Drosophila melanogaster: one gene and its partners. The protein of the gene in region 3 interacts with the protein of the main gene of each other region in a pairwise test. Each region holds a gene or a part of one and is shown on either strand. Other genes may lie near its edges. The genes, in order: CG13157, CG5386, spz3 and CG8927.

Evidence for each region.
Region 1: the proteins of spz3 (region 3) and CG13157 interact in a two-hybrid assay, tested with the Drosophila melanogaster proteins (one large-scale study listed by BioGRID).
Region 2: the proteins of spz3 (region 3) and CG5386 interact in a two-hybrid assay, tested with the Drosophila melanogaster proteins (one large-scale study listed by BioGRID).
Region 4: the proteins of spz3 (region 3) and CG8927 interact in a two-hybrid assay, tested with the Drosophila melanogaster proteins (one large-scale study listed by BioGRID).

The regions. Positions count from the first base shown.
Region 1 is NT_033778.4:12,413,156-12,420,082, reverse strand, and holds CG13157 (uncharacterized protein), read right to left. Parts: upstream 4,040-6,927; 5' UTR 3,629-4,039; coding exon 3,211-3,628; intron 2,927-3,210; coding exon 1,941-2,926; 3' UTR 1,852-1,940; downstream 1-1,851. Other genes in the region: CG42782 (uncharacterized protein), read left to right, coding at 789-929; Cpr49Ah (cuticular protein 49Ah), read right to left, coding at 5,230-5,790, 6,010-6,021.
Region 2 is NT_033777.3:22,339,377-22,345,236, forward strand, and holds CG5386 (uncharacterized protein), read right to left. Parts: upstream 2,876-5,860; 5' UTR 2,839-2,875; coding exon 2,753-2,838; intron 2,662-2,752; coding exon 2,164-2,661; intron 2,095-2,163; coding exon 1,914-2,094; 3' UTR 1,860-1,913; downstream 1-1,859.
Region 3 is NT_033779.5:7,872,046-7,882,272, forward strand, and holds spz3 (spatzle 3), read right to left. Parts: upstream 7,508-10,227; 5' UTR 7,102-7,507; coding exon 6,162-7,101; intron 4,120-6,161; coding exon 3,986-4,119; intron 3,293-3,985; coding exon 3,168-3,292; intron 2,467-3,167; coding exon 1,987-2,466; intron 1,917-1,986; coding exon 1,760-1,916; 3' UTR 1,450-1,759; downstream 1-1,449. UniProt on the Drosophila melanogaster protein: Neurotrophin which may function as a ligand to the Toll-related receptor Tollo. Involved in a Tollo and JNK signaling pathway that positively regulates neuromuscular junction (NMJ) growth in presynaptic motorneurons.
Region 4 is NT_033777.3:16,178,434-16,188,424, reverse strand, and holds CG8927 (uncharacterized protein), read right to left. Parts: upstream 7,406-9,991; 5' UTR 7,251-7,405; coding exon 7,230-7,250; intron 3,468-7,229; coding exon 2,599-3,467; coding exon of another isoform or gene 2,595-2,598; exon of another isoform or gene 2,537-2,594; coding exon 2,311-2,536; 3' UTR 2,190-2,310; downstream 1-2,189. Other genes in the region: Bin1 (bicoid interacting protein 1), read left to right, coding at 1,648-1,713, 1,787-2,173; CG8925 (uncharacterized protein), read right to left, coding at 8,169-8,261, 8,327-8,472, 8,533-9,083, 9,761-9,991.

The DNA of each region.
Region 1 (6,927 bases), on a different chromosome or scaffold from region 3:
TTTGATTTCAGCTGGAAAGGAAAGCTCTAAGCATCAGCATCTATGATGAGCAGCAGGGCGATGCTGCTGGTGCACTGGTGGTGAAGCGTAATGGTTCCTCAATTAACGCCGTGGAGATTGCGGATCATGTGGCAAAGAGACTTCCCTCCATTCAAAAGCAGCTCCATGCTGGTGTCCAGTTTACGGATAAACTACCAGCCAATCCCAATGGAAAGACACTTCGTCGGTTGGCGCGAGAGGATTTCAATGCGAAAAAGGGGTCTGTGAAATAAGATTTCAGTAACCCTCCTGGTAAAATTAAAAATTAACTTATAGTGTCAAATGAGAATTTTGCTGTACAAAATTGTTATATTGTAGATTAAAAACAAGAGAGAATGCTATAGTCCATTTCCCTGACTATCAGATACACCTTACTTGTCTGGAATAAATATATGGGAATTATATTAAAAGGTGTGCCTGGTTCTAGGACAATGATATTATTTATTTATTGCTTTTCTTTAATAGCCAACTTTAGCCATTTCATGATGTGATTTGCACAATAATAGGGTGTTGAAAAACTGAATAGTACTTAAAAAAATAATAAAATAATATTTAATAGTTTTTGCGACGAGAGGAATATATTTCAGTTTAGTAGGTGTGTTAAGCTGACTGTTTTAAATTAAAAGCGTCTTTCGAAACTGCTATAAATTGTAAAATTTGAGACTCAGTGATTTAGTGATTAGTGCGATATAACACAGTGAACGTGTTTACTTGAGCTTCCTTTCAACATTATCAAATCCAACTTTACAATGCTTATCAGCCAATATTCCGGTTTGAAGCTAATGCTTTTGATGGTTGGACTGGGAATGGCATCCTCGTATGAAATTATCAGACAATGTCCTGTACATTTCGTTTTCAAAAATAACTATTGCCAGTATCAGCCCATGTAGGGTTAAGAATTAATAACAAGAAATAAATAATTTCTGAACATTAAAGAATATTGGCTGTTTTAATAACAGCATTGCTTACTACTTTTCGAACTTTGTACTGATTAACAGGAAGGGCGCACTTATTGTCACTTTACAAGGACACTCTATTGCTCAGAGCCCGGCAGCCAACCCATAAATTTGAAAGTTCTTTCCCTTTTAAAACAATTTCACTTGGGTGAGAATGTGGCTGTCATAAATAAATGTAATCATAGTTTGGTTAGGCTTCTGGTAAGCTTAAAAATTAGTCTGGAATATATGTATATATTATACTAAAATCTAAAGCTGTTAAATATTTTCCCTACTTTCCGGTTCTAGGAGATTCTTTTTGCAAAGGTTTCTACAATTGATAATAATGTCGTTACTTTGATGCAATGCTGGCTTTCACAGTTAGGCATCATCTGATATGATCCAATCCAATAAATACATTATGTATATAAAAATAAATTTTGATTGATTCCATACACTCTGACGCTTGACTGATTAGATACGAACAATTCGTAGTAAGCATGATATGCATTCGATTAGATTCAATTTACTGCATTTTTGGATGGGTTATCTTTACACCTCGACTGGATGTCCTACCTAGTTATATAATTATTTCATTACAGTTCTACAACGAATAGTATTTTTCTATGAATGAAATTGTTAATCAAAAAATCCATAGAGATAAGGAATGCTTAAGAATTCATTATCTACATAAGTGCAGGTCGTTATCAGCTTTTGTTTACGCCTTCGACTAATCGACTAAAGGTAGGATACGAAAAAAGGTAGATTAGAGAGTTATTCTAAATTCATTGAAATATATGAAAAATATATTCTTCTTAGAGATAAACAAGTTGATGACCCATCAATTTCCACCCAAAATAAAAAAACAGCTGAAGTGAATTGTATGGGTTGGCTTAGGTTTAATTGTTAAGTAAGTGTAATTAGCGAATAGCCCCTGAGTTGTGTTAAGGTCAAGTGATACTAAATTTAAATACTATTTTCTCGCCGGAAGCTCCAAGCAATAACGAGGAGCACCGCGAGCGTGCCAAGTGATCTTTGCGGGGATCCGGCGCCGGAATCACTCGGTATAGCCACTTGGGTTGGCTGTATATCCATATCTGCATCTAGTATCTCCTGCTGCCTCGTCACCTGTTCTACCTGCGGACGAGCATGACCAGGACGTATCTCCACCTTGGGAAGGGGGAAGCAGTAGACCCTTTCGACCTCCACCAACTGGGGCACAATGCTGTCGGAGGAAAGCGAAGTTTCCGAGACGGTGAGAGGCACACATATGGTTGGCTCCTCAGAGGCATTTCGATCCTCGTAAGGAATGCCCACCCGGGTTATATTCAGCGGCACGGTCTCTGGAACACTCAGTTCGCTGTGCATCTGGGCGGAGTTTAGAGAATCCTCGTAGTACTTGTATTCGTCCACAGGATCAGAGACGCTCTCGTCGCGCCGGTCAATGCTCCCCTGAATGCTCCCATCTATCCTTTCGGTGCTCACCGTAAGGGATGTGCTATCGATGAAATCAGTGGGCCAATTCAATAGACCCGCAGTGGATCTAGTGGGCTGTGTGGGAACCGGTGGATGCACCACCGAGGATTGCATAAATCCTGGTACCACGGAGCTCGTTGCAGGTGGAGCTGGCATTGTGGTATCGTAAGGATACGGATACGGCAGGGGCAACCAGTTGTCGTCGGCGGAATTCTTGGAATTCCTTCGATTGTCCGTCGTCGTCTCCACGGACTCGTTGATCTGCTTGGATATTGCCTTCAATATGGGTTCCGAATCGTTGACCCTGGCCAACTCGAATTGTTGTGGCACCTGCTGAGTACTGATGCGCCGGCGTCCATATTTCTCTGCTGAACTTTCACGACTGACTGGTCGGGAATAGGCAGGATTCTGGTAGCCACCAGGGGCAATAGGAGCGGACAGCTCTTCGCTGGAACTTGATGGCTTGGCATCAATAGCTGCGGCATAGAAGTATTTGAGACATGAGCAAACAATTTCGAAACAGAGACCAAATTAAACGCTACATGAAGATCTTTTTAAAAAGATGTTTAGGTTTCAATATAGTTATCATTAATATAAATCAATAACATTAGAGATTAATAATTCAGGTTATTGAAAATATATTTAACCTATTAAATAAAAGACTAAGCAGACTTTAGTTTCATTAAATTCTAGCAGCGTTTGCTTGTTTTTAATGATACTTATATTAATAGGAAATTCACATTCGAAGTTGAATTCTTACCATCTGCCGGCAATCCCATGAGCATGGCTTCCAGGCGTCCGTAGACCCGCTCCTTGGGCTGCGGTTCCGAATCGATTTTCGTGTCCACCTTCTCGGGCCTCTCCGGATGCTCTGGCTTCCAGTTGCCGTACACCACCGCCTCCTGACTGGGCGTGGCCGGCAGGGGGGCGGTCTCCTCGCGCCACAGTGGAATGTGGGTGTGCACAGTGGAACTGATGGGGCCTGCAGCCGGCACAATTGGCCAGTTTCCCAATGCCTGAGCAGGTGCTCCGCCGACTGAAACGGGATTTTGCATATCCGCAATGCGTATACGCCCCCTGGGACGGGGAGGACCCTGCAGCTGCTGTGTGGCAATTAGCTGGCAGCCACTGAGGGCTATCAGCGACCACAGTAGACACTCTTTCCAATGACTAACCATATTTAAATTGAACACGTCTATCTTCTTTTTTTGCAGATGCTGTGCTACTTTTCAATTTTACAGTTCGTTTTTATAGGTTTATTGATTCATTCTCGTTTTCAGCAGCCACAATAACAATCTATTGTTTAATTTTTGGCTTCTGCTATTTTTTCTTTGACGTTGCTTCGATGTCAATGTAATATTCACATCTACAGTTCTTCACATCTTCACTTTTCTGTCGATCAACCACTTCACTTCCCCATTTCTTTTCACTCCCCACAAACAAATATTTGTATTATCGCTACCAGTTTTCGGTGTAACGCTCTTGCGAATTCGATCTTCAGCTTTCTTATAGATATTGTATATTGTAGAGGAAGTATCTCTTTTGCTGGCGATTTGCGATCTGCACGCGACGGCTTGTAAACGGCAACTGAGTTGGCCAAATCAATTCCAGCACCGCACAGGCCCACAAGAAAGATTCTTTCTAATCACGGGCCATAGAAATTTTCCTTTGTTCGGCTTCGTTATTATATGGTTTTTTTTTCGTCTTAATTATGCGCAAGAGCGTTGAAACTTAATGGCGAATAAACATTCTTCGGGGCCCCGCTTTCGGGGTCTGTTTCTACGGCGGTGGTGAAAATGCAGCGGATTTGATTTATATTCAGCTAGAAATAACCGCAGAGTATAGTCAGTGTGTTTACGTTATATGCAAATATGTTAGGTGGCCAAATCGTTTGCCGTTTTGTGGCCCAAAAGGTTATTCGGTTGTTTGTTCTTTCAACCTGATGACAGTGGTTTTTGGTTTCAATATTTGCGTAGCCAAGGGCTACTCCATTCGAAATGCCAAACGGTAAAGGTAGCCTACGTTAAATACAATAATTGGCAGAACGAAGAGGTTTCTCGGCGCGAAATCGGGGCTACGCCAGTAACCCATTCGTGGACCACTTCAACTGGCTTCCTCAGCCTTTCCACATGCAACGCCTGCCCGCGAAGACAAGTCGAATGGCACTGGAAAATCTGTCGTAATTATGCAACTGGCAACCAGTCGAGAGACTCCTCTCGAAAGAAAATTTCCATGGCGGCGATGTAGAAATATGGAAAATTGGAAAACCCAACCTGCATGGAATGGGATCAACAAACTAACGTAATTCGATCTGCGAAGTAAATAATAAAGCAACGAAAGATGCACGGTAAATGGGGAAATACTTTGAGAAAATAATGAGGACCCATAAACGCTTTGTCACGTTTGTCTGAACATCGTGGATATGGTCAGCTGTAAAACGGAAAAAAATAATGCCAGAAAATATGGTAAGTCCATCATCAAGTCGGTTCGGCATAATGGAAACGTTAGTTTACTTTTATTGTTTCAAAGCAGCGAAACTTTCACACTCGTTAATAAAATATTATTAATTTGATTGAGCGCCCCTGTCTGTTGGTTTTATGGTACTTAGTGGGAAATTCAAAAGTTATTAAACGATTATCATTCAGTGTGGTACAGCGATTTGGATTTGGAAGAGCTTGCAGAATGAAATCACAGTCTTGTTGTTGTTGATATAGAATGCGAAGAAGTTACGTTTCCAGGATCATCGGTTCGGTGGGGGAATGGAATGGGCGGAGCTCGTCTATTGGTTCTCCAGCAGACCGATGTACTGGCCATTCTGGTTGGCCACGCGTCGCTCCTCCAGTTTCCTCGCAAAGTCTGGATCTGTCTTGGCCCTCTGCTCCAGACGCTCCTGCTGCAGTTTAATGCCAGCGTAGATCTGATCCAAACCCTTCTGTATCTCCTCGGGAATAGCCGGCGGAGTAGGAATGTGATCACCTGTGGCCCTGAATCCATTCTCGTCGGCCGTGTACTGCACATTGACCAGAGTTCCCTCGGGGGATTGGTAGGAGTACTGGCCATGCTGAACCAACACCCCATTTGGATTGGTGTCGAAGTCCTTGAGGAAACCGGTTTCCTCATGAATGATGCTATTGCCCGTCTCGTATTCTGTCTTGTAGCTTCCATCGTCACTCTGCTCCTTGTTGTACTTGATTATGGGTATCCAGGTGCTGGTCTCTCTGTGATCTTCATGACGATGATGATCTGGTTTGTCATCGCGTGGTATGTTGTTCACATTTTGGTGCTGATGTTGATGGTGGTGTTGTCCTTGGCAGGAAATGGCCAACAGCACAAGAAGTATCTGAAAGGATAAATATTAGCTTAAGCTTACTAACACATGCAAGTCATTACGATTTCCAAACAAAGTAATCACAAAAAAGAATATTTAATCCTATCCTTTAGATGTAATGTAAACCAATAAATTTTATATTTGAGAAGATCGAACTGTTGCAATGTTTGCCAATCATTCATCGAGAATCACTTGACCGATTTTATGTGATTGGTTATGTGAACCACTTACGAGCACTTTCATTTCGCAAGGAGTCTCTGCCGCTTATCCACTGTATTCCACTGATTTGGCCCGCTTTGTCGCCCGTTTGGCTGGCACTGATCGCACTGGCTAGTGAAAGCAGCTCCGTTAGACACTGTGCCAAGCGCGGCCCTATTTTGGTCTTATATAGGCGATTCGCTCTGCTCCGACCCGATCCGATCCTCCTGTTGCACTCGTGTCCATACCCACACAGGTGAGCCTCCATGGGAGAGCGTGCATTTGCTATTTCTGCTGGTGATGGAGTTTCTAATGGAGATGAAGTTGCAGATGGATATGCAGTTGCAGTTGCCGATGAAGATGGGAGGGGATGGGAGTGGAAGTGGAATTTGCCATGGAAGCTCTTATTTTTTGTTAGCTGTCTGATCCGACCGATCGGTAATTGTTGTTCGTAGGCTCGACGACGCTTAAATGCTAAAATCGTAAAAAAAAAAACAATTCACTGTCGCTCTCGTTTGAGGCTTTTTCAGAGGCTGAGGCAGTATGATTTTAAAAGGAATCCAGAACTATGACAAACTATAAGGATAAAGCTAACATTCCATAATAATTTTGGATTAATAATTTGTGTTCGCCTTTTGTAAAATTTGATACCGTCATTATTATATAATGAAAAAAAAACGAAAAAATTGCAAATGCGCACACAGTAAAAAACAAATTATTTCTTTTCGCAAAGCAAAATCAGCTCTAAAAATGTTTAATTTTAATAGCTTCTGACCTTTTCCCTTTTTCTCATGCCCTAATCTTGGGATACTTTATTGAAATAACAAGTTCGTTTCCTAAGTCTTTTGTTTTAACGCAAGAAAATTCTTATGAAATGTTTTTTTTAAACATTTTATATTAAAAATATCTTATCTATTAAACTTTCTTATATATTACTTATTTATGAAGAGT
Region 2 (5,860 bases), on a different chromosome or scaffold from region 3:
ACTTGCAACTAAACAGGACTCTGCTACGGGACTACAGGATTCGCTTGGCAGTGGCTGTAGCAGCAGCAGTAACAACAACAACAACAATCGCTTCTGTCAACGCACAAAAGACAGCGCTGACGTAACGAAACGGTTAATTTAGAGTACGACAACGACAACAAACGAAGGCAGTTCAAAAGCCGTCAGCGCGAGATGAGATTAGGTTGCAGATGGGCACAAAGAGAACAACACGGAGCCGAAGCAGCAGCAACAGCACTGGAAAAAATGTAGTGAGACAAAACTACAACAAGCCCGAAAAAAAATGTCCACGCAAAAGCAACTGAAACTGGAGAACTTAATCCAATAGAAAAACGCATTTGAACTGAGAACTTTCTATTGCATTTTAAATCTTACTTTTGAAGTTTCTTTCAGTGTAATAGCGGCAACAACAGCATCATCAGCTTTATGCCATTTGCATAGGGGCGTGTACGAAGTCCGGGATCTGCAATTACAAAGCACCAGCTCGAGATTGGAATGAAGGCTGGCTTGGAATGGAATGGGTATGGTATGGAATGGTATGGGATGGGGTTAGATTTCACGAAGAGATGGGGAAACACTGGATGGGGCTCGAGACTCTAGTCATATAAAACATTTTTTAGTGCGCTCATGCTGGCGAATGTTTAGAATTTAATTAGCCACGCTCCCTGATTATGCGCGCATGAAATTAGAGCCTTCGAATGGAGCTCTATAAAGTGTGTACCAAAGTGCCGATGACAACAAAGGAGTCATCCGTATGCCAGTTTACTCACATCTGCAAGACGTCAGAGGGTCGGAGTCACAACCACATCCAATTCAATTTCAGTTTTGACTGCCAGGACCTACTGCGAACTTCAGATTTGGAAGACTTACTTTGATATTAACAAATACACATTTTTAAACCAGATATGTATGCTGAGAACAATTTTCGACTTCTAGCGAATAGATTGCTGGGTAACTTTCTTTGAGAGTATATGTCCTATTTTAGTAAGTATATTAAAATTTTAGTTAGACACCAAAAGCGTCCCTTCAGTTTACCCGCCACTCTTATTGTTTCGATACCAAGGAATGTCCCAAAGATCTTCCTTTAGATTATAGACCTGCTTTTGAGCCCATCCCCCAACTATTCCGGTCATCAACTTCTTGCGGCTTCGTTGAGTTGACAGGACAAACAATGGGCGACACTTCAGCACTTTCATTTTTCCCGCTCAAACACTTGCGAAAAACACTCCGCCGCAGACTCAACGCTCCGCCACACATACATTTTGCGGATTTTTATTTATTATTTTGCTTCTTTTCTGCGGTGGTGCTGTTGGTGTCGGTGGTGCAGCTCACTCACACAGACGCCCCACAATTTGCGAGTCGCACTCAACGTGAAGTGTTTTGTGCGGTTTTTTCGTGTTGCATGTTTTATATTCGTACACATATATTTTTAGAAATTGTTTTTAGTTGAATGTTTTACTTTTATGCTGAGTTCGGTGACAGCTCGAAACGAGTCCTGGTGGGCGGAGGTCCTGCTAGGCCGGAGCAGGCACGCTGACAAATAAGTCTCATACGTATTGTTCGAGTTCTTTCTGGGCTTTGGGAGATTGGAAGCCAAATCTGGTTACGGATTAGAAAAAAAAATTCTAGAAAAATCTAGAATCTGTTACATCTGTTTATTCAAGGTTATTCAAAATCCTCGAATTTAATAAAGATATTTTCAAAAAAGCCAGTTCACTTTTTTTGCAGTAACTGACACAGCTGCTGCTCTCACATGAATGAATATTGAGTACACACACACACATGTGCACGGCAACCAATACACCCATGCGATCGGCCGCCCCAAAAGTATGCAACACTTTGCCCGACTCTCTATGCGCATCTTTATTAATTATGCCAGCGATTTAATTAAAAACTTAACCAGCTGTCGCCTTGAGCGCCGCAGCACTGAGCAAGGGGATCGTCTCCTGGCCACCCGAAGGAGGCGGACATAGCGCGGGGGGCGTGGCTTTGGGGCTGGCAGGAGCGGCAACTTCCGACGGATTCCTGCCGAGTTGGCAACTTGCTGGCGCTGCAGTTGCCGCAGATGGGTATGGGCTAATTAAAATGCATTGTTTAATGCAAATAATGGATTATATAAGTTGGTAGTTTTCAGTGTTTACTTACGGCGGGTGGCTCTCGACTCGTGGCGCCCAAACGGCTGCAGCTGCGGCTGGCGGCGCCTTAACGACTTTTGGCCCGACTCCTCCATATTGTTGTGCCGTCTGAATTGGCTTTGGCTGGAGACGCAGTTGCTGGCCTGGTTGTTCAGGTTGCACATTGACGCCATTGAACCCGGCCAATATTTGAGGTGGTTGACCCGCGGCGTTTTCATAAACAAAAAAGTGTTGCCCCTGTTCCTGTTGCGGTTGATTTGTGGCCTGTTGTTGCTGCCATTTTGGTTGCTGTTGTTGGTAGTGTTGCTGCTGCTGCTGCCGTGGCTGCTGATGTTTCTGCTGCTGCTGTGGCTGCTGCCAATTTGGCACAGTTTGGCCCAGTAACTCGTGCAACAATGGCGCCAACGCTTCGCTGCCCGTGATTTGTTGCAGATGCTGCTGGAGCGCGGCTTCCTCAATCTTCTGTCCCTCCGCCCGATTGATGCTCAGGATGCCGGTGTTGTGGTGCCTGTAAGCAAATAGTTTGCTCAATAGATTGACCCGCTAACCACCACCCACACACTGGGCGAGATTCATTCCAGCACATTCACACGACCTACTTTGTCAGCGGCTGTGCAAATGTTTGCGAAACAACTCCCAAACAAACCAGCGGCAAGTGGAGCAGAACGAGCCAATTTGGATACATATTTAAAGACTTATTAGTGCCAGAGACCTTCCACTCGAAACTCTCGGTGAGAACTAACTCCGGCTAACTAACTTCACACATCAAATATTCTCCGATGCCATGGATTCTAATTGGGAGATGCTTGCTTTTGCCTAGGCATTCGATTAGGTTTCTTGTTTTCGGGCATTAATTATTTCGAAGCTAATTATACATGCACATTAATATGCAAATATTATGAAGTGTGAACATTTTGATGTGCCCCATTGGTTTCGGTATGATAATTACCAGTTCGGCTTTACAGATCCAACTGGAGGCCCGACAGCGGTTCTCGATTGAGTGGATCTCAATTAGCCGGCTACAAAAAATATGACTAGCTAATTGGCTTAATCAAATAGTAAAAATAAGCTAATAGAAACTAAATAGTAACGTTATACCTCTCTTAAATTGATTAGAATACATTTATTCATCTAAATAGTTTACTTCTTATTGGTAAAGTTTAATATTTTAGCTTTAATAAGAAATATGTTTTTTATAATAAGCTGCCTTTCAGCTGCTGTAAATGCCTCCATAAGTTATATGATTATGTGCTTTCAACAAAAAGGGCTCTTAAACTCAAATCCATAAAACTACGCTTCTCAAACTGTTGCATTAACATACGAGCCATTTCAAAGAGGTGGCCATAAATCCAAGCTAAAATGTCAACCGTCTGGCAGTGACTGTCAAACTGTAAAGTGGCCCTTGGCTTCAGCTCCCATTTTCCGCTCTCCGTGGATGTGTGGCAAAATGTTTTTCCATTAAATTACAATTCCCCTTCTCGGAAAATACCCCCTCCCCTCTACCCCCTCATCATCGGCGGCCTTCGTCGACCAGCAAAGTCATGAAATTTAGTGTTGGCGGCATAATTAGACCATCAATTGCGGAAAACTCATGACAGTCATGAATGGCCGACTGTGTGCATGTGCCTGTGTTGGTGGGCCAAAACCACATGGGCGGGGGGCGTGGCCAGGGGCCTAGGCACACTCTGGAATAAAGTAATATGTGCTCCAAGCATAAACTCATCAGAGTCGGAAAAGCTGACAGAGATGAGAGGACGGCAACAGCAACAAGAGCAGCGCCAACATTACACAGTAAAAAGCAACTTAATTAAAATATCAGTTGAACATCATAATAAACAAGATAGTTTCTATCGAAATATTTGATATATTAAAACCTAAGTAGATGATCAAATGCGAGTTCATAGAATAGAGTAGTAGTATAAACTATTACATACAATTTGAATATTTATTCCAGTGAAGCAATGGCAGCCACAAAGGGCGGCCTGAATTTCAACGATGGACGGGACTGTTGCACACAGAGGCAACAACAACTGGCTGGACTTCAGCAACGATGGCCACAATAAAGTCGGAATGTAAAGCACAAATGCTACTTTGGTTGCTCATAAATATTCACTGGAATGTATTCGTCCTCCTCCGCATTTAGCCGTTGTCCTTGTGGCTTCGCTTTCATTTTCCACCGCTTTTCGGCCGAAAGGCGCAAAAGTGTGAAATGGCCGAGTACGAGAGTGTTCATATATATATATATTTTCTATTTTTATGACGATTTTTCGGTGACTGTTTTAGCCAGCCGAGTGTGAAAGTTAAGCACATAAATTACAGGCGAGCGCCGCCATAGGAATTAAAAGCACCGTGCACAGTGGCCGAAAAACCAGAAAACACTTAAAATATGGCAACAACCGCTCACCCGGGAATCCACCTCTTTGCAGCCACACAGCAGAGGGAAGAAAAACGGGTTCAAACGAATAGTTTGAACTTCTTTAAAGATTCTAATCCAATTTAACAATTTATGCAATATATACTCATTTAGACTTTTAATCTTTGATTGACACTGAGTATGTACGTTCTGTATAACTTAAAATATATTAAACAAAATTCACTTTCGCAGCTCCTATCCTGTCAAACCCAACTGTTTGCATGTGTGTGAAGTGCGGCTCGTTGGCGCTTTTTAGTAAAATTACACGCTCTAATCCACAACTTTTGAGTGGGCCCACACCACCGAAAAGTGTGGAAAAAAAAGGGGCCAGAATCCAGAAAACCCTCTGACGAGTAGGATCTCCCAGGCAGAGATGAAAGGCAACTGCCGAGGGCATCAAGGGCTGCAAGAATGCGCCAGACAGCGCCAAAGACCTAAACGCAAAACAAGCAAAGCTCGCACAAACTCAGGCTGAAAGTATGCAAAACATAATTCATGCTGATGGAATTGTATGCATGAATATATGAGGAGCGCCCCCAAAATCCCAGACTCCAGTGCCCATAACCCCTGGGCTGGCTAAAAATCATATGCATCACGTGATTAAACGCGTCATGCATGAAAATGTAAAATATTGTGCAACCATATAGCTCACAGACAGCGCTGGCGAAAAGGGGGTACCCCCGGCTGGGTTGACTGGCTGCCAGAAGTTAAAAAATACATATAAATATATATGTATATAAAAAAGAAAGGGGAAAAAATTAGACCCCGCACATCATGTTTACTTGACTTGACTGGCAGTCTGGTATCCGTGACCAAAGCAAACGAGAGCAAACAAAACGCCTCGGTTACAAATTTTTCACCATTTTTTCCAGTTTCCCCCCTCCCTGCCTGCCACACCCCCTCTCTGGGGCAGGCTTAAATGGAGAGAAATGGCTGAGATGGAGCCGAATCTGAATCTGATGTTGAGGCTTCCGCTGACGGAGATGAATCTGGGCAGCACGTGCCCCAGACGCCGCCAGACATTGGCTTGAACTTGGCCATAACCAGACGTTGTTGCTATTTGTTCGTCCCTCCCCTTATTGCCGCTTCCCTTTTGAGGGGGCAAATGGGCGTGGCCCCGACTGCAATGGCAATTTCTTGCGGCTTTAATCGAGTTCTCAATGTTGGGTGAAGGTCAAAATCGGCGGCAAAAGTGCAATGAAATAACAAATTCAACACATACTCTTTTTTATTCCAATCAGCCTTTTTCAATTAATTCAATTCAGTCATTTATAAAAAACAATTTCATTATCCA
Region 3 (10,227 bases):
AAACATAAACAGTTTAAGATTTCTAATATTTTCATATAGCAGTATTTTGTTATTTGATTACAGGGTATCTCTTAGTTCAAAAACTTTGTTACCGCACTGTTGCTGTTAGTAGTTGCTGTTGGGACTGCCGTCGTCATGGCTGCAATTGTTGACATTGCGGGCGTCAATAAATGCCCCAGTCCTTGGTGCTACGACTTTGGTTAACGTTAACTGGAGCCCAGCACTCAATTGTTATGGTCTTCCTCCGCGCTGCTGGGATATGTGCGGCTGGCTATGGCTGTCTGTGCTGTGGTGTCGGTGAAATGGACCATTTGAATACCACGCACGACCGATAGACCGAAATTTTTGATATAGCGCAGTTTTGTGTAGCCATTGCTGTGATTGAATACGTGACGGGCATGGGAAGTGGGCCAGTTTCGGGCAGGGCAAGGGTTTTTACGACGCCGATGGGATGAGGAATACTAGTAGCAATATGCTCATTCATACCCACCCTCCGCCACCACTCATCTGCTGGTTAATTTATGGCCCTCCGCATGTAAACGCTTTATGAAAGCAAGCCAATTGTGAATGCCCATTGCGTTTTGGGTGTGTTATAAATTCAGAAAAAAAAAGGAAAAACAATTACTCAAAATATGAAATAATCAATTCATCCTATGTGGGAATTGAACTCATGACTTCCGGACTGAGAGCAGTGAATGAAATTTACTTTGACTTGCCCTAGGCTGAAAGCTCTTGAAAGCTCTACTTTTGTCTCATCGAAATATGACGTAAATACTGGGGCTTTGAGTGTGTGTAGACATCAAGCATCGGTGGTTCAGTGGTAGAATGCTCGCCTGCCACGCGGGCGGCCCGGGTTCGATTCCCGGCCGATGCAAAATAACTATTTTTTTAATTATTTTTCTAAGTTTTTTCTATTGTTTGCATACACTCTGACTTAACTGAAGCATTCCAATTTTAGCAACTCTATTGTTGAAATTTATCAAACAGTCAATAATTGTTTTGGGGTTTCCCCTTCAGTCTTATGGCAATATAATAAATCATGATTTAACTGACCACCTGACATTGTTTCCACCATAGCAAGATTAAGGTAATTGTTACCGATTTTATTGCTTTACATTCTGCCAACCGATTATTACCAATTATTACCAATTATTAAGCAAGGCTATAATTTAAGTAACTTTGTGTTGTTTCTATGTCCTAGTAGATATGTTTTAGTAGATACAATTCCTTCTCTGAACAGTAATCCTAATGGACTTTGCCTTAAGCATTTTTAAATAATTTACAGTCAAATAGAAACCAAAGATTTATCTTTACAATTTAGTATATCCCAAACAGGGCTACCAAATTAGTTATCCCAAGCTAAAAACCTTAGATGCACGCGTGATATTCTAGACTATGTGCTAATTGAAATGCTATAATACAGTGTTCCCAGTCCCAAATTTCATATTTAATATTTGCATAGACTTTATTCACTTGAATCGTTTTACAATTACGTTTATAATTACCGTACAATAAAAATGGAGGCTGAGTAATATCGCATGTTGATGGAGGGGATATAGAGAATAGTGGAGATATACATATGGCTCGGATAAAATCTTAACTATGTGTAGAATTGTTCATAATTAGAGCTACCGATTAGGGCTTACGTAAGGTCTACTTAACAACAACTAAAATACATTCAGTGGCATTCTACCTACAATTACTTGTCTCAATTACATTTATCAATTGTTTATGTATTAATTGCTCAGAGTCAGGTAATCTAGGGATTACATCTACAGACACAGCACGAAGGAAACAGGAACCAATCCATAAAAATGCCCTTGCAATCGTTATCAGGATCGTAGGCGAGTAATCTATGCCATTTGTATTTCTGCTCGCATCCACACTCGCCCTCACATCTTGGAGTTTGGGTATTGCTACAAATAGTAAAAAAAAAAATCATTTCATTATTCGTTTTGTTTACTATTTAGTTAACAGTGTACTAACCTGCAAACCTCCTGGTGAATCGCCTGCTCGAAATGCTGAGTATTTACGATGGCTCTGATCTTACCCGCGGAGTTCGATGCCCAGTACGGTGTGACAATTTCAATCTTCGACTCGCAGGCATCGAGTCTTCCAGTGCCCGAACTACCATTCTTATTTCCCGGTTGCCTATTGGCATTCGTGTTCCCATTGCCACTTCCTCCGGCAGATCCGCCTCTATTTCGACTTCCTCCGGCGGCAGCTTGGCGCTTTTTCCGGAGTTGGCCAAAGTAACTATCTCCGGCTTCGACGGTCTCCCCGGCATTGGCAGCAAATGCTCCCGGGGGTATGAATATATCCGGCTCGTCTATGAAGCGACGCTTTCGCACCTTGCCTTGTTGTCTGCCACCTCCTCCGCCAGGACCCTCCATGTTCATCTCAAAGTCGCCGTACATCCGTCGCATCAGGGCCTTGTTGTCGTCTATGAAACGTTCAATCTTGTCACTAAAAATAAGCAGGTAGTTTAGCTTTGTATAAAATAATTGATTAAGTATTTAAAAGAACTTAATGTTATTTATTTCTTCCAGGTGTACGCCGTAAAATGACGTATTTAATGAATTTATTTTTATAATAACAAAGGAAGTGACCGTATTTAAAATTAAAATACAAAATACTTTGCCAAATCAGGTGATTCACTAAAAAGATTGATCATAAATACTCATTTGAGAAAAATTAATTGATTTGAGAGGGTCCGTAAAGCAGATGAAATGAGGTCAAAACCCACGGTAAATAGTAATTAAAATTTATCTTTAATTAAGAAAATGATATTATTAATTAAAAGAAATTAATATCTTCTTAGCGCAAAATGTTGGGACCCAATGTTAATGAACTTTGGAATGAATATCGTTGAAAGTCACACTTTTTGGATTTGCTTTAAGCCTAGTGATGAAATTCATGGTAATTTTACGTTTCTATGCTAATGAGAACAGTTAACTATGTGATTTTAGAACAGTCATCCGGATTAAATGTGATTCAGATCAGTTTCATTGGGAAAAAAAACTGGTAGAAGAAACCCACAGAAATGCAAACATCCTTGACTTAATCAAGAGAGTTAAAGTTATACGACTGTTCCAAGGGAAATACCAATATACCATTTCCACTCGGGATTTCCCGCAGCCCAAAAATAGAGAACAATGGTTACTTACATGGGATAACTATTGCCGGCCGTGGGGCAAAACAGTTGATGATATCGCTTGATGCACGGCACTCCCTTGATGACATCGCCGCGCACATCCAGTCCCAAAGCCACCGACAAAGCCGTCCACCAGATCTAAATTAACCAGAGATATACGATGGTCAGTCCGGGCGATAAGTATTAACTATTTAGCATTGAAGACGGCAATTGAGTTTCGGCGGGGTACTGAGCCTCAGATTGGAATGGCGACCATAACAAATTATGGCCGGGGTGTGAAAATGACTCAAGTAAGTCATAAACATAAAAGTTCGTTTTATATTCGAAAATAAGAAGATATGAAGGGTGTAGCCGTGGCGGGCGGTGCAGTTTAGAGTTGGATTTTGGGATTAAGCCTACTCGAGTCGCCATGCGAAGATTTTCAATATCAATCTCTCTCTTCTTTCGTCGTCATCAACATCATCACACCTCTTAATGAAACGAACTCGCACGACCTTCGTGCGCAAAAAAACAAAAAAAAAAGGAAAATAAAACCGAAATGAAACACAAAATCGTCAAAGTTATTTCCGCAAATGAACAAACTCGATCGATATCGAGAGTACACTGTAGGAAATCGGGAAAACTAGAACTCACCGAAGACCAAATCAAATTTTTATTATTTTCAATATAAACAGAAATGGGAAGAATAGGTGATGCCTGCTTGTTACTTAAAATTCATAAATGATTTTTGACTCCTACTTTTATTTGCGATCTATATTTTCCGCAGTGTGTCAATTAAAGTGCGCGCGGGCTTAGAACCTCATGCCGGCGAACCTATCGATCCGTACTTACCGGAATCTGTAGGAACGATCCGTTGTTGAGTTTCGGATAGGAGAAGAGCGGCACCACTGGAACCGTCCCGTTCTTCAAGTAAATCGGTCCCTGGATGGGCGTCACTGTGGGCATCTGATTGTTATTCGACTTATCTGTGAACGGAATGTAAATGGATTCGAAAATGAAGTGAAAATGGAAATTGGAGTGCTTTTAAATGGCTGCTGTTTCGGCGGTGATTCATGGCAAGGACGGGGGAATTGCTGTATCCGTGGCCGTTGTCACTGCATTAATCAGCCCGGTTAAACCCAAAAAGAGCTGCCATTGCAACTGCAAGTGCACTCGGTGTCTGCATACAAATCGCACTGCAGTTGACACTTGCATGTATAAATTTCATGTCTGCCTGGCATTTGTAATGCCCAGATCCGGATCTGGGCGCAGACAGAAACTTTCCCTTTTATAGCCATACTGCAGGATGCAAAACGGGTTGCAGAATCCAAAAAAGGGAGCATACAGTGCAAAAACTTATTTCCTCAAAATGTTACTTAAACTAAATGTAATGGAATTGAAGGGTTCTAGACAAGTGGTTTCCTTATTATTATGCTATGACTTTTGAATTATTTAGGTAATTTATAGCTCTCACCGGAAAAATGTCTTACCAAACAAATTTGTCAGATTTAAAATAATATTTAAGAAATATCCTAGTTATTATGTTATGACGTTTTTCTTGATTTCTATACTTTTTTCTCGCAGTGTTCAGATCTCATGTCACTTTCAGCTAATGAGATATATTCTTTGGCAGGTTGTGAAATAGATTCTTTGTTTCTGTGCACTGATCTTTGGTTCAGATCGCATCTTTTATGATATTTTTCTGCCTGCACAAAGGTGAAAACCCAGTGTTGAGTACTTGAGTGCCGCGCCAAGACATCGAGCGACCCAAACTAGTATCTGAGTTTTGGTCTTGCGTGCGCACGTCTTCATATGAGAGCTGGTTCATGAGCTCGGCCCCTTGCCCCTCATTTCGGGAGATTGAAACGCGACTTCTTGCATAATAGCCCCGTAACCGAGTTGAGTACTTGAGGTCTCAAGTCTGGCAGGTTGCTGGCTGGCTAATGCCTCGACAACTCGCAGATTGAGATTCAGATTGAGATGGAGATGGAGAGGCAGAAACAAAGAGGCGCCACAAGCTAGACCGAAAGTGAAACATCCGAAAAAGTGAAGCGCCGCTGACAGTTTTCCAAGAGGACAACAAGGGCAGCAGATTCAGATACGAAGATACGTAGATACTTGAGCCGTTAGATAGACGGTCTTAGATACAGATACACCCCGGCACAACATAAATCGTGATGCGTGCCAGCCTGTTAGTTGCTATAAAATTCAAACACTGGCCATTACTGTCTTGAAAGTGACCTTGCCGATCGGTTTGTAGACCTTTGACCTTGTCGCCGCTCGTTGCTTGTGCGCTGTTTACCCCACAGGTTTGTTATTTGTTATAGTTGCTCGGCGATCTTGTGCAGAAGTTGCTCTCAATTGGAAAGATACACAAAAACAAGTAGCAGGCGAAACCACAGAAATTAACATGACTTTCAGCGCCCGTCTTTCGAATCGTGTGCAAACGTGGGACTCTATGCCGCTTATCTCTGTGAATCTACATACATGCTCTAAATTCACACTACACATATGACTTGACTAAAAGCAAACAATTTAAGCCACCAACATTTGGTTCGTTTTTAATTGTTAATTGTTAAGATTGCCATCTCCGTGAATCAGGAAACACTCGAACTGGAATGTACTCAGAAGAGTGATACGACAAAGTCCGGAGAATTTCTTTTGGATGAATGAGGAAGTGATTCTCGGCCTCTTCAACCAAAGTTCTACATAGATCATACTGTCACATTATTATGCACTTAAATACATTTAATTAACGTCTGCTTGAGTCACTTATTCGTGGGGTAGTTAGGCATTCCAATTGGAAGTGTTTCTTGGTTAACAAGTTGGCATATAGAATTTTAAAAATAATGCACTCCTTAAGCTTAGAACTCAGCTTCCTGTGCTGTTATGCAAATTCATATAAATCCTTTCGATAAATTAATCATTTAATAGTATACTATTTTATTATAAATCTGACCTCGTTCTTTTAAATTCTAATTCCTTAGTTTGTTTCACCTTATAGTAAAATATCCAGTTGGGTACTCACCATTCTCTTGGCCTTCGTAGAACTGTCCTTCCTCCTCTCCGTCCTCCTCCTCATCCTCCTCACCCTCCTCCACGTCGTAGTCTAGAACGGCGTGTACCTGAGTCCTGGATCCCTGACCAGCCTGAACCCGTGTAAATCCTGGTGCTCGTTCCGGATAATTCTCCGGCGGGGCAACTCCGTATGTCTGAGCTGGTTGAGCCTCCGGCTTGGCCTGCCTGGACCTTTGGGGCGGTGGTGCAGGTGGTGGTTGCTGCTGTTGCGATGGCGGTGGTTGTTGCGGCTGCGGTGGCTGCTGCTGCTGCTGCCTGCTGCCAAAGCTGGTAATACTAAAGCTGCCGCTGTTCTTAGTAAAAGTGGCACTGGCACTGCCGTGTGCATTGAAATATTGCTTCTGTTGCGGTTGCTGCTGCTGCGGCGGCTGTGCTTGCTGTCCGGGATAACGGGAGTACGAACCCTCCGCCGGTCCCCGGCCACTCGCATGAGTCTGTGTCAGCTGGATGGAACTTTGGCCCGTGGTGCTGCTCGAACTTGATCTGGAACTGCTGCTCTGGAAGGACACGCTGTTCTCATGCTGATCCTGCTGCTGGTGTTGTTGTTGCGTTTGCTGCTGCTGCGTCTGCTGTACCTGCTGGATGTGGTAAACGGAATTCCGGACAGCATTCGGCGCTGTCGGTGGCAAATAGGCGTTACTCTGCTTGCGTCGTCCAGCTGTATTTTGATATTGATAACCACCCGATTGCGGCGGCGCATAGGGATTGTTCTTGAAGTACTCCGGATCGGCGGCTGCCTCCGCGGGAGTCTGCTGCTGGTGGTCAGCTGGCGAGTAGAGCAGATTATTTGTGTTGCTGGCCAACTGGTGGATTGGATGCAGGGGAGCTATGGTGACTCCCCAGGGCTGGCCCAGGGCACCGAAGGGCAGCGAGAAATTGGTCAGAGCCATGGGCGTGCGAAATATGCTAGCGCTCTCAGTTGGCAAACGAAAGACTTAAGCGACAAACTCGATCCGGACGCGCATGCGACATCATTTAGAACAGATCAGCGCACGGAAATCGATGGCGCGCGCTCTCGAAATTGATTTATGCAAAAATAACAAATCAGTCAGATCAGCTCCCGCTTCCCACCCCTGGCAACAATGGCAAACACACACTGGCAAACACAGAATATTAACACACACACATACGCGTCGATCGGCGGGCTATGTCGTTTATATATATATATGGCGATATTAAGGTATGTGCAAACGATGTTGTTGTTATTAAATAACTTAAGCGCGAACTTTTTGCTTCGGTCCCCGGTCCGCGTGTGTGCTAAAAAACCATTCACGACAAGCTGACAATCGAGACTGAGCCGTTCTCGCCGTGCGCCTTAAAAACAAACTTAATGGGTGGAAAATGTTTCAACTCTCGAAATCTCAAAATCTCCGACTTGAAACATTGCGCTCAGCTCCCTCAATCTCGGAATCTGGCTAAGAGCGAACGCTCGGCGAACTGAGTTGCGTTTTTATCTTTCGTTTTTCGGTTTCTGCTGAATGGCAAATCGAAAAATAAAACAAAACCGGAAAATATTCGATACTGAGCCAATCGAAGAGCAAATGCTCTTAGAGGCGGAGATAAATAAACAAAAATATTAAAAAACTGACATATTTTCAAGTTATACAGAAAAGTTCTCTATTAATTATGGTTTCTAATAAATTTTAGTGAATCACTATTAGCAATATGTTTAAGCGAATTTTTTCATTACTATTACTATAATGTATTAGCAGAATAGTTATAATATAGATCACATAATATTAATGTTTTGTTGATGATTGATGGACTAACCCAATAAATTTAAATAATTTACTTTAATCATCTGAGGGGTTTTAAAAGTGAACCTAAAGTTGTTGACAGTTACCGCATATCAGCATTAAGGTGTTTTATTATATTTGGCTTAATGTTTTAATTAAGAAAAGGGGTTTATCTTCTGGCATAGTTAAAAGCTGGTTTGGATTTTTAAATCGCTTAACTTTATGCGCTGAATTTCCTTTGAAGTGACTTAATTAAAGGAAATCGCATACTAATTAAGTTACGTGCACTTCTGAAATCAATCCAATTCTGGATTGGAGCCAAATACAATTTTGAGTATACCTTTCCTATACCTTCACCGGGGGAATCTTCTTCGACAGGTGCCGACGGCATCCCTCAAAGTGGGATTAGGTTGATGTTAATGAGAACCCCGTTTAGCTGGCATTAGTGACCTAGGTCAATGCCTGGATGCGTCGTCATGGGCTGATATACATTTTAGTGGCTTTTGCCGAGAAACGCATATTAATCACAGTAACCAAACCGAATACGACGTCTGCGCTGTTTTATTTCTCATCGAAGGCAATGAAAAGCAAAAGTATATTTAAAGTGGGCTTTCAAAACTGGTTGTGAAGAGCATCGCGGGTCGATTTGTTACACACATGACTGCCATCCAAAGAGAGTGGCTGGTGGGAGACCCTCCGTAGGGTTCTCCCCATCTCCATGACCATGTCTCTGCGGTTATATTACACTCTCTTAGCCAGGTGAAACAGTGGCCAGTGGCCACAGGGCAGAAGCAACGGGGTTATGCGGCGGTAATTTGAAATGTGTCGAGTGCATCGGGCGATGAGCAAATGGATGGCGGCGATGATGCTATGAATGAATGACTCGGTGTATATTTCATCTAAGCGATGGAGGTGTGGTCGTGTCAACGTCATAGATCTCGGATCAATGCGTCCACTTTGCATATTAGCACCTCGCGAATTGGAGCTCCCAGCATCTAGACAGCCGGAAACGGATGCAACTAATGGATAAAACAGCCTCAACGTGCTATGATCTTATCTTGGACATGATTTTTTCTGGGAAAAACGCCCTTTAATGGTGTCTCCTGTTTGATGGATGAATCAGTTACGAGTGGGGAATTTTTCTGATGTAGGATATGCGGTAATATACTTGGCCTGTGGGTGATTCTCTTGCCCTGGTCCCCTTTTCAGGGTCACACGCGGTGTCTTGAGCCACTTTTCCTTTTTCGCATTCTTACATGCAAATAAGTCACTTAAACTGTAACACTTGGGTTTGGCCAGCTGCTGGTCTGCTCGTTCACTTGGAAAAATTACATAAAAACTGAAAAATTGAAAAGTGTATAAACGGAATTTCGAAAAATGGCAAGTTGAGAAAAACCTTTACATATTTAAATTTACTAATTCGATTAGGGGTACTTCTTCATAAGGTATACGTGCATTCTAGGAACAAGTTTCTTATGAATTGAATTTTTGTATTTTTTCTCAATGTAATGTTGTGTGCTGACCAAGTCATAACCATAACCATGGCCATGGCTAATAGCCAGGCCTTTGTTCTATTGGAGTTGCTGCTGACCAAGCCCAACAAATATCGCATATTTTCATAAAAGCCAGGGACGGAAAGTGAACTATAAAATAAAAAAATTGGCTTAATGTTTATACATATTAAAAGAAAACTTTGAATGTAAACTGTGTGTATAAATCACCAAATCTATACCAAATTTAGAGAATGGATTTTAATTGTCTAAATCGGAAACGTTTTATATTTCAAAAATATTAACTTCCTATCCTTCACGGCACCCCTGGCTGTCTTCCGTTTCCCCAGAAGAACCATTAAAACTGTTTCTAGCTTTTCCCATATGAGGAAGCTAATGATTCATCCAAAACACTGGCACTTCCTGCCCGTCCCTAGTCTCTCACTTCAAACGCTGCAAGCCCAGATGCAATTTGAACCGAACCGATTTCATAAGGCCAGAACAAGTTTGCGCATAGATCAGTTCAAACGAAAAAATTACTTAAGCGTTAGTTATATATTTTTTTTTTTTGCCTTTCCCTTTTCATGCGACAGACATTGAAACTTCTTGGTCGGATTTTGCTGTTGGCTGGCACATGGCGCATAACGAATCCATGGCTCCAAAATCCAATCCGAAACCACTCGACAATCAAATATATTTGACGCGAAATCGAACTGAATCGAGATCTATAAATGACATTCCTTCTAGCGCCTGGACCTGGACATTAAATCGCCCCCGGGGTCTGTCAAAG
Region 4 (9,991 bases), on a different chromosome or scaffold from region 3:
TTTTGTCAAATTTGAATAATTTACGAATGTGAATTTGTCGCAGAAGTATTGCTGAGTATTATCTTTATAAATTTTTCATTTTTTAAAGTGACTAAAGAAACAGCTTTAATGCGTCTTACTTCATATTGGTCATCCCGACCACAGTGCACTGGTTACCAAAGTATGCGATAACAATAACATCGTCCACTATGTGGTCGTTGCTGGGGTTACGGGCAGTCAGTCACGGTCACGGCTGCAACCCCTCCGCTCCGGCCAAAACGAGTCCACAGAACAATGGCCAAGGACGAAGGGGGGGGAGGGGGGATTCAATAACAACAGCAGGAACAACAAACATTCTGCTCCCACGCAAGAGCAGCAGGAACTGTGGCAAAAACAGCTGCTGCAGGATCAACGAGGTGGGAGTGGATTCGAGGACTTTAAAACACGAGCCAACTAAAAATATTCAGACACGCCGAAGCGAAAATACCCTTTAGCAGGGGGTTAATTCAAGTGGGGTATTTTCCCCTTCTAGTGTTTTTCTTTTACCAGGGTAATCACAGATTCTGTTTCTGTGCACTTAAACGGGGTTTATTCCGTTTCTAAAAATATCAAATGTCTGGATTGACTTATTTCTTGGTATTTGACTAAAAATAAAAACAAATATGCAGCTTTTGGGAAACTGATTCCTTGTTGACACAATAGAAACCACCATATGACCACACCTTCCACGCTACTGCAATAACTAGAACATTTAGAACAACAAACAGAATGGCACTATTATCGGCAAATGATGGCGCATGCATAAAAATGAGGAGATCGAAAGTGGGTGGCTGGGGATGGGATAACCTTGTACTTCTTGAGATAAAAACAGTTCAGTATTTAGCAGCGGCTTATTCCTGAATGTTTATAAACAAATCGAGCGAGAGAGCGATGCATAAATGAAATATGAGGGGGGGTGAAGGGTGGTTGCAAAGAGGGTGACTTTTCGCAGACGCTGCGGCACCAACACAAGCAAAGCAACGGCAACAATTTGCACGTAAAACTCAGCTGCTGCTGCTGCTGCTGTTGCCGTTACATAAGAAACTCTTGCAAAAAGTGCAAATCTCAATTCGGTATGCAAATGGACCGCTGCCACAATGTACTCACCGTTTTTAGAAACTATTCAGTGGCCAAATTGCGATTCTGCTTTTATGCGCCAATAACAAACGGCTCTTCTCCACCGTTGTTGTTGCTCTCCTCCTTGTTGTTGTGGTCGCAGCTACTGCTTAGCGAAGCAGTTGTTATTGTTGTTGCGGCAACAGTAATTTGCAAGTGCACCGCTATTGTTGAATGTTTTTAGACGATTGTCATGCCAGTGGAAGCTTCCAGTCTGCGTCATTCGCGGAGACGCGTAGTTTCACGTTCGACGACACAACCGCTCACAGCGAATTTTGTTTTCGGACTAGAGCTGAGAAACGGCGAATTTTGGTGCTTCTGGAAACATCGATTAAACTAAAACCCGATAAGTATGCGACAAGCGGTCACACTCGGCGATGTGCGATAGGATTGCTGCATTCGATTATATAGTTATCGAAAAGAGCAAAGAGAAGCCGGAATATACGGCATTAAAAGTGCATTTTGTATTAAAATTAAGAAAATTAGTAACGATATACCGCAGAATAGGGAGACATGGCCAACGTGGAATCTATGATTGTGGAGGAAAAGACGCAGGTCAAGCAGATTGACCGCGAGAAGGTTTGTTTGTGACCCCGGTCATGTTTACTTCGCGTTTGCTCTAGATGTGTTAATAAGTTTATGTATTTTCCAGACCTGTCCTATGCTGCTCCGTGTCTTCTGCTCTACGGGACGACACCACTCCGTGTCGGAGTATATGTTCGGCAACGTGCCCACCAACGAGCTTCAGATTTACACCTGGCAAGACGCCACCCTGCACGAACTGACCTCTCTGGTGCGAGACGTCAATCCGGACACCCGGAAGAAGGGCACCTACTTTGACTTTGCTGTCGTGTACCCCAACTTCCGGAGTAATCACTTCCAGATGCGCGAAATCGGAGTGACCTGCACGGGTCAAAAAGGAATCGATGATAATAAGACACTTGCTCAGGCCAAATTCAGCATTGGAGACTTTCTGGACATCTCGATTACTCCGCCCAACCGACTGCCGCCAACCGCCAGGCGCCAGCGTCCGTACTGATTCTTCACTTTCATCTATTCTAATCATTTTAATCTTTCACTTGACACTCAATGGAGTATGAACATAATTATAAGTGGAATACAAGTAAGACGAACTACGAGCTGCTTGACTTAAGGGACTATATGTTGTGGGGAGTATCAGTTCCTGTAAAAGCCGTTCGGGCGCTTCGACTTCTTCTTGCCCAACTGCGTCATGTCGATCTCCAGACCATTGGGCAGCACGGCGCGATTCTCTTCGTAGTTGACGAACCCGTTCTCTTGTAGCTCTTCCTCGTTGTTGCGGTTGTTAGGATCGCACTTGATTCCAGTCTCATAGTGGTACTCACGTTTGTTGCCATCTGGATCAACGTAGCCATAGGTTCCCCTGGTGAACGAGAAGTTTGGGTAAGTGGGAGAAAGAGGTTGGATTCAATCTGTTTTACTCACTTGGTGATGCAATCGGTGCCGATCAGCTCCTCCTTGAAAGATCCGTCGTCGTTCTCATAGCCCCATGTGATGCTTCCGTCCTCGTTTTCCTCACGCCACTTGCGAATGGTCTGGGAAACGGGCTGACGGCGACGCTGCTGCTGCTGGTCAACGTGATCGTCCTGTAGCTGATTTTGATCAATGATGGGACGCGGCTGGACAGGCTTAGGGCGTGGCCTGGCCATAGGCTGTGGTGGTGGTGATTCAGGTCGTAGGGCAGCGGAAGACGCTGGTCTTGTTCGGATCACAGCCACCCGCTGGGGCTGTTGTTGCGGTGGTGGTGGCGCTGCTGCAGTGGGCGTAGGTCGCTCCAATCCGAATCTCTGCGAGTTCTCAAACCGACCAATGCCAAAATCATTGAAGGCGGCGGGACGGTTCAGGGGCGTCGGAATAGATGGCCGTTCAGCGGGGAAGCGCGAGGAAGGAGGAGGCAGGATGGCAGCCGGCTGTGAGTCATCGGACTGAAGGAACTGCTGCACCGGCGAGGGTTGTTCAACGGGTTGTTGGCCGGCCAGGAAGGCGGCTGCTGCCTGCTGGAACTGTGATTGTTGGGCCTGAGCCAACTGCTGTTCCCGCAGAAGGTTCGGCAGATATGGCTCCGGCTGCTCATCCTCCGCTGATTCCGTCACAGGACGCGGTTCCTCAATGGCGATGCGCTGCGTCACCGCTGGAAGTATGGTATTCTGCTGGCGCAATGAGGCTCCTGGACGGCGTACTCTCAACACAGGCTGTCGGTGGGGCACTTGACCAGGTGATGCTACCGCTCCGGGAATGCTCAGACGCGGGGGATAGTTTTGGGCCTCTGTCAACGCGATCGCGCTGCAAACGAGCTGGAATCGGAAGGGAAAAATGTATGTCATTAGTGCATTCCAAATGGGGATCAACTGTGCCAGTTGCCGGAACAAGGCGTTCCCACCGCTTTGGCCACCGCGTTGCCACTAACTGTTGATTCGCTTTTGGCACTGCCCCTCTTAAGAAATTAGTTTTACACGCTCATTTTTGGCATGCTGCTTGTCCAACGGTTTCTTAGAATTTTCATCCGATTTGGGGGTGGAAAACAGCAAAGAATTTGGTACATTCAGTTAAAACCCAATTGGTCAATGAGTTCACAAGAAGACCAAAAACAATTATGGAATTTGAAGGATACGTATGTGCATTACAAGAAGTAATACATTTCTCTTTAAAAATTGCTTTTATTATTGTTAGTTATTTTTGGCTGTAGCCTTATTTTCATTGACATATATGTATATGTATATATATACAATATGTATATTCCAAACATTTCTCAAACTTTGTCTTTAGCACTACTAATTAAATCGAATTCGGGGTTCGTAAAAAGCACCACACTTGCAGCCTGACTTTTGTGGCACTTCTTGGCTAACTGCACAACTCGCACCTTCGTAAACTGGTTTCAAATTTATCAACCGCTTATGAACAACTGCCGCAGCAATTTGTAGTTGTAACGGTGTGGCGGTGGCAACAACCACAGCAGCAGCAGCAGCAACAACAACTGTGGCAGTACTGTGTAATGGCTGTAAATGTGGAACATAAAACAAATCGCGATTTCTGCCCCGCCTCGCTGCCGATCGATCATAAAAGCCGAAACCAAAGCCAAAACAAGCTGAGCCATAGCCAAAAGCAGAAAAAAACGAAAACATTTCAGACTTTGGCGTCTGGGTTGCGTAATTTGCATGGACGGAGTTATGCGGCATGTAGCATGTGGCAAGCACATTGGCCAAAAGTTTCCGGTTCGCGAAAGAAGTCAAAGTCTAGGACAAATGACCGACCGCTTAGTCGTATACTTAATGCTAGCACGATTTTCAGTGCGACAACTTTTAATTAGTATTCGCCGTAGTTGCATAATTGTGAGACCGGGTGGAGGGGCATTTTTAGCCGGCTTATGGCTTTTCGCCCTCGGTTTCGGTTTCCATCTGGTCACAGATCAGATAACAATTTGGCCCACTTGGGCGAGGTAGCTTATATAAAAGAATTAATGATTGGGGAAGTGAATAAAACTCGATACGGAATTACGGTTTCCATTTGGGTTCTTGACAGGATTGGAAACTTGAGTAGGGTTATTTATTGAAATGATGTTTTTTTTTTTTGTGGAATTATTATTCTTTCAAAACTTTTGTTGCTTTATTTGTTTTGATTTATTTAGAATTCATTTTAGTGGACAAGAACTTTTTAAATAAAATCAAGTTCATATATGACTGCTCCTTATAAAACTAGTATTCCATTAAGTTAGTTATTAAGTAACTATTTCCTAGTACCTATAAACCCAGTTTTAATCTTAACTCTCGCACATAATTCAATTGTTCAAACATAAATAACTATTACGGCTTATAATAATCAATCGAATCAATGAAGCCTTCGGCTCATGCAGATTTTGTTATGCATGCAGTCGACACATTTTTTACTATTATTATCCATTACTTTCCTGTATCTGAGCTACGGCTTTGTTTTTTGATCGTTTGATGTGTGTGTGTGTGTGTGGGGGAACCATTCAGCCATTCAAGCCGAACATTCCAGTGGCCAGCGGCTTGGCTGGCTGCCCAACTACCTGGTCAAGTGAACTACTTGGCTTAAAAATTAATAAAAGCCAGGCCAGATAAAGCAAAAAAAAAATTGTATAAGTGTATAAAACTGCGCAAGGCCTGGTAGACACTTGCAGCTATTTATTTTGGGTGCATTGCTCGGCAGGGGAACTTGATTTGATTTAATTGCTTTTATGACTCCGCCTTGCGTCTGCGTCTCAGTTCAAGGAAACCGAAAATTTCGTAGCCATGTGTAAATAAATGTTCGTAGTGGAAGGTGTTCCCAGCTCGAGACCCAAATTGAAACCCAGCCAGGTGAAGTCAAGCCAAGCCCAGGTGGAGCTGAAGGCAAACGTGGGTGTTCCTTTGGCGAACCATCACCATCATCATCGTCGTAAGCATCAGTGAAAGACAACAAAAGATGTTTATTATGCGGACCCCCCACTCCCGTGGGTTCATCATTAGTAACAATAACTTGGCTAAGGACTTCTGTCCCGGCCTTGACTGTCCAATGGCCATTGACCGAACGAACGAATCGAATGAGCAGCCGAATGAAATCGAAAATATGTCCTATTCCGACCGGGCATTTTTTTTTTGTAGCTCGCTGGACTCGTTGCGCTGGAATAGTTGTCAGTGCACTTTCGAGCCGGCTTCGGTCTCAAATATGTAACACTTTATGCATGTATAAAAGCCTTATTTATGCAGGCATACATATATTCCCATATACCCGTCCATTACGTAATCCCAGCACAGTACGCCCAAATGCGTCGCAGTGTGGGCAAGTATCTGTATCTGTAGCTGTAGCTGTATCTGAATCTGAATCTGCAGCAGCGACAGCCACTGAAAAATGAATGGAGCGTGCGTGCCGAGAATTTGCATCGCCTTGGGTGCGTTTTGTGGATCCCAATCGCCCATAACTAGTTATTAGCTGCGGCACCACCAACGACCTTGATACACATAATCGGGGCTAGCACAAAAATGGTATCGTGACGAACTGCTCCCAAACAATACTCCTGTAAATTATGTCTTTCTTGTCATTAACAATTCATTTTCTGGTCCAAATTTTGGCAAGCTCATTAGGCCATGTCCGTAATTTGGCCAAGTCAATCAATCAATCAAGCAAAAGCATGAAAATCTAATTGGAACCGCTGATTTATGGTGTTTTCCAGATTTATTTCGGAAATTTAGGGAAATAGTCGATATAGAAGTTTCATTTAAAATTGATATTTATATACAAAGTTATAATTTTTTATATCTGGTATTTTCGGAACACCTATTTTTATTTATAGTTTGTCGTTTTTATTTACTTGACGTTTGCAAAGCTCAGTCTATAGCTTAAAAATTAACCTTAAATTTTTTGTGAATAGCAAGTTATATTATGGAATGGCTTCCATCGCCAGCTTATTTTGATTGATTTTGTTTATTGTATCGCAAGTAATATAATTTATCTATCACCTAATTGACAATTCATCAACTTTGCGCGGTAGCAAAGATCTTTGATAATCTTTGACAGCATAACAAATTAAACTTAAGCCAATTGTGTGCCCATTTTGAGAGCCCAATATTCAGGTTAATAATGGAGGCCGGGGGAATTTTGCAAAGTTAAGGCGGAGCTGGGCTTTAAGCCAACAAATGCTCGTTAAAATTTCAGACCCGAGGGCTTGGTTTGGTAATTCCTCAAACGGAATTCTTTGGCAAACAGTGAAAACACAATATCTGGGTGATTGTATCGCCTATTTATGATACGAGTTCCTTTGTTCAAATCGATCTTAAGTTTTATGATGCCAAACGAAATGAAATGTCAATTGGCCAGCATTAATTGCTAATTGCATTGCATTGAGACACAGGTAAAGGTAAACACAACTCGCGCACTTTCTATTAAATGCAAATACTCGTAAATATCCAGCAATGTCTCAATCTAAGATCGAGTATGAGCCTTAAGCTGGCAACCAAACGACCTTGACAGCTGCATATTTATGATTCACTAACATGCTGAGGTGGTGACATGACCGAGAACACTAACACTTTTGATCCTTCCTCTGGTTTCCAACTTACCGCAATTAGTTGGATCTTCATGGTTGATCTGGACGGGTAATCTCCTTTTAACTTTCCTGTCCCTTTGTAACACTTCCGCAAAGCGAAAAGAAGGCACTATTTGGGGAGAATAATTTTATCCACACGGTAAACCTAGGTAGTACTTTTTGGCCAACCGTTGATCACTGAAATGCTGGGCACGCCAGGTGCGCAGGCGGCTTTATAGCTCCAGCTCCAACGCCAATCGGAGCTTTGGCCAGCAGCGGAAAATTTATGTGCGGCGTGTGTTTGGCATGGATATGCAATTAATGGCCGGGCCAAAAGTGGAGCGCATCTCTCGATGAAGTAACGAAAGTGACAGGGCAGTCTGGTATTTACTTTTTTTGCACTCTTTTGTGGACATGAGAATGGTTGGTCTCGAACAGCTCCGGGAACGTGATATAGTTTTAAATTACTTTTACCGCCTTTAACGGTTTTGTATTTATTATTCAGTGCGCTGGCAACGCTTGACACCAAGCTTTAAGTTAAGACCAACCAAACTAAAGTCATACCAACGGAGCGTATGCGCAATGGTTGATGCATCGGCTAAGTGCTACAGTTAGACAGGCTTCAAACCCGCCGTATTATAGCATCTCTTTATAGGAACGTTTTATTTAGATCTTTAAAGAATTAATCGTTTATAACCTTTTATATTGTTTTTATATTCCGAAACACCCAGTACTACAAAATACAAATTAATTTAGCATTTAATAAAAATACTTTGTTTTTAATGCAATGAAGGTATAAATAAAATCATGTATCAACAATATAAAATCCGTGTTAATGGTGGAATGAGAAGAAACGATTTAGTGTGGGTGCGCAATGTCCCCAAAGGTCCAATAAATATCACAGTTAGGCATGTCAAAACGGAAAATCAGCTCTGATTTCTTTTAAAATACCAATTCCTATTGCAGCTCTTGGTTAGACCACATCCTTCATAAGGCTGATGGCAACGGCGCCAATCAGGCCACAAACTCCCATAACATTCAAGGGCAGCAGGGGATCAATGTGCTCCTGTGAAGAGGGGAAATCAGATTGGTAAAATGAAGACCACACAGGTAAACGATTTGAGGACCCACCAGTTTCCAGAGAAAGGGAACAAGGATTAGGGCAATGCCCGATGCCAGGTTGCCCATGCCAACGCCAAAGTTTCGAACTATTGTGGGATATTGCATCGCTGTGTAGGTGGGAATGATGGCGTTGTTGGCTCCAATGAGACACTTGGCTGGGTGACACTAGGTCATTTACAGATTGTTGTTGTCAAAGATGTTAGGGTACAACTTACCTATGGTGGCCAGTGCAATCACACCCGTTTGATTTGACACCAAATTGGTGGCTAAGCAGCAAAGACCCGGCAACAACATGTAACCAATAAGACTACGTCGGATTCCCACTTTCAAGACCACCAGGATGCTAATGCAAATGGAGATGGCCTCCACGGTTCCAGCCACGGCACTATTGATGTAGATATTGCCACCCAAATTGCTGAGGTGCAACGTGAGTCCAAAGTAAATGATGATCAGTGTCAGCCAGATGACCAGGGTTAAACATGTGGTGCGCCAGTACTTTGCACTGAATACCACCAGAAGGGGATTCACATGGCCACTTGCACTTGGATCCGGTGCATCTGCCTCCACTGCCTTCGACTCTACGCTGGTCGTTGCTTCTGGTGGAGATTGGACCGCCCGCGGTACAGCCGCCTCGAGGGTCTTGCGATAGTTGCTGGGCAAACTGGCGCTGGTGCCATTCATTCGGGCCGCTCGCTCAATTAGCCCGCACAGCTCGTCCAGCCGGCCCTGGGCCAAAAGCCAGCGTGGAGACTCCGGCAGCCAGAACCTAAAAAGGAATGGGAGCGAATGGGTAGGGTTGCTGTGAGAATCAATGTCATGATCCCGGTATTTATTGGCTTTTAGGAATTTTTTCATTTCATTTCTAAGGCGGTCAGCTAATGTGGCTCTCTGTGGCCTGCTTGGCACCCGAGGATAAACACTGAGGAATGTCCTGGACACGGTTTCTTTGTCCCTGCCGGAATCTAATTGATCCGACCAATTGTGTGTTGTGTACGGTTTTATCTTGTCAATTCATTTAGTTGACTGACTGCTAAAAATGTTTACGCTTTGAAGTTGAAATGCGTTCATTTGGGCTTTCAATTCTCCAGTAAGCGGATTTTTAATAGATTTAAGTTTTTTTTTTTGCCTTTAAAGTAGCACTGTTATTTATATTGATTTGTATAGAAAATAGAATAGAAAAAATTAAAGGTCATGAATTATGTAAAAATGTCTTTAAAATATGGCTAATAATAATAAAATGACTTGTTAATTACAGGAAGGAAATACATGAGTTTAATTAATAAACAAATTTCGTAAATAAATATCATTTAGCCATTGATACAAATCAGAGCTCAAAGCAAAATGCATAAAGAGACCTCGATTTCCCTTCAGCCGATTTTCCAATTACCAAATAAACGCCCAACAATGGCACTGCCCCACCCAGGATGCCCGCGCAGAACTTACCAAATGCTGAGCATGATTAGCCATGGCCAGGAGATGGCCAGCTGGAGGTGCCGCCAGTCGCGGATGAGGTAGGCCAGTCCGGCGGAGAGGACGTAGGAGATGGCCACGGGCAGAATGTTGAGAATGCCGATTACGGTGCGCCACTTGCCGGAGACCAGCTCCACCACCAGCACGAAGCTCACAACAGTCACGGTCATTGATGCGAATCCAATTATAACACGTAGCGACATG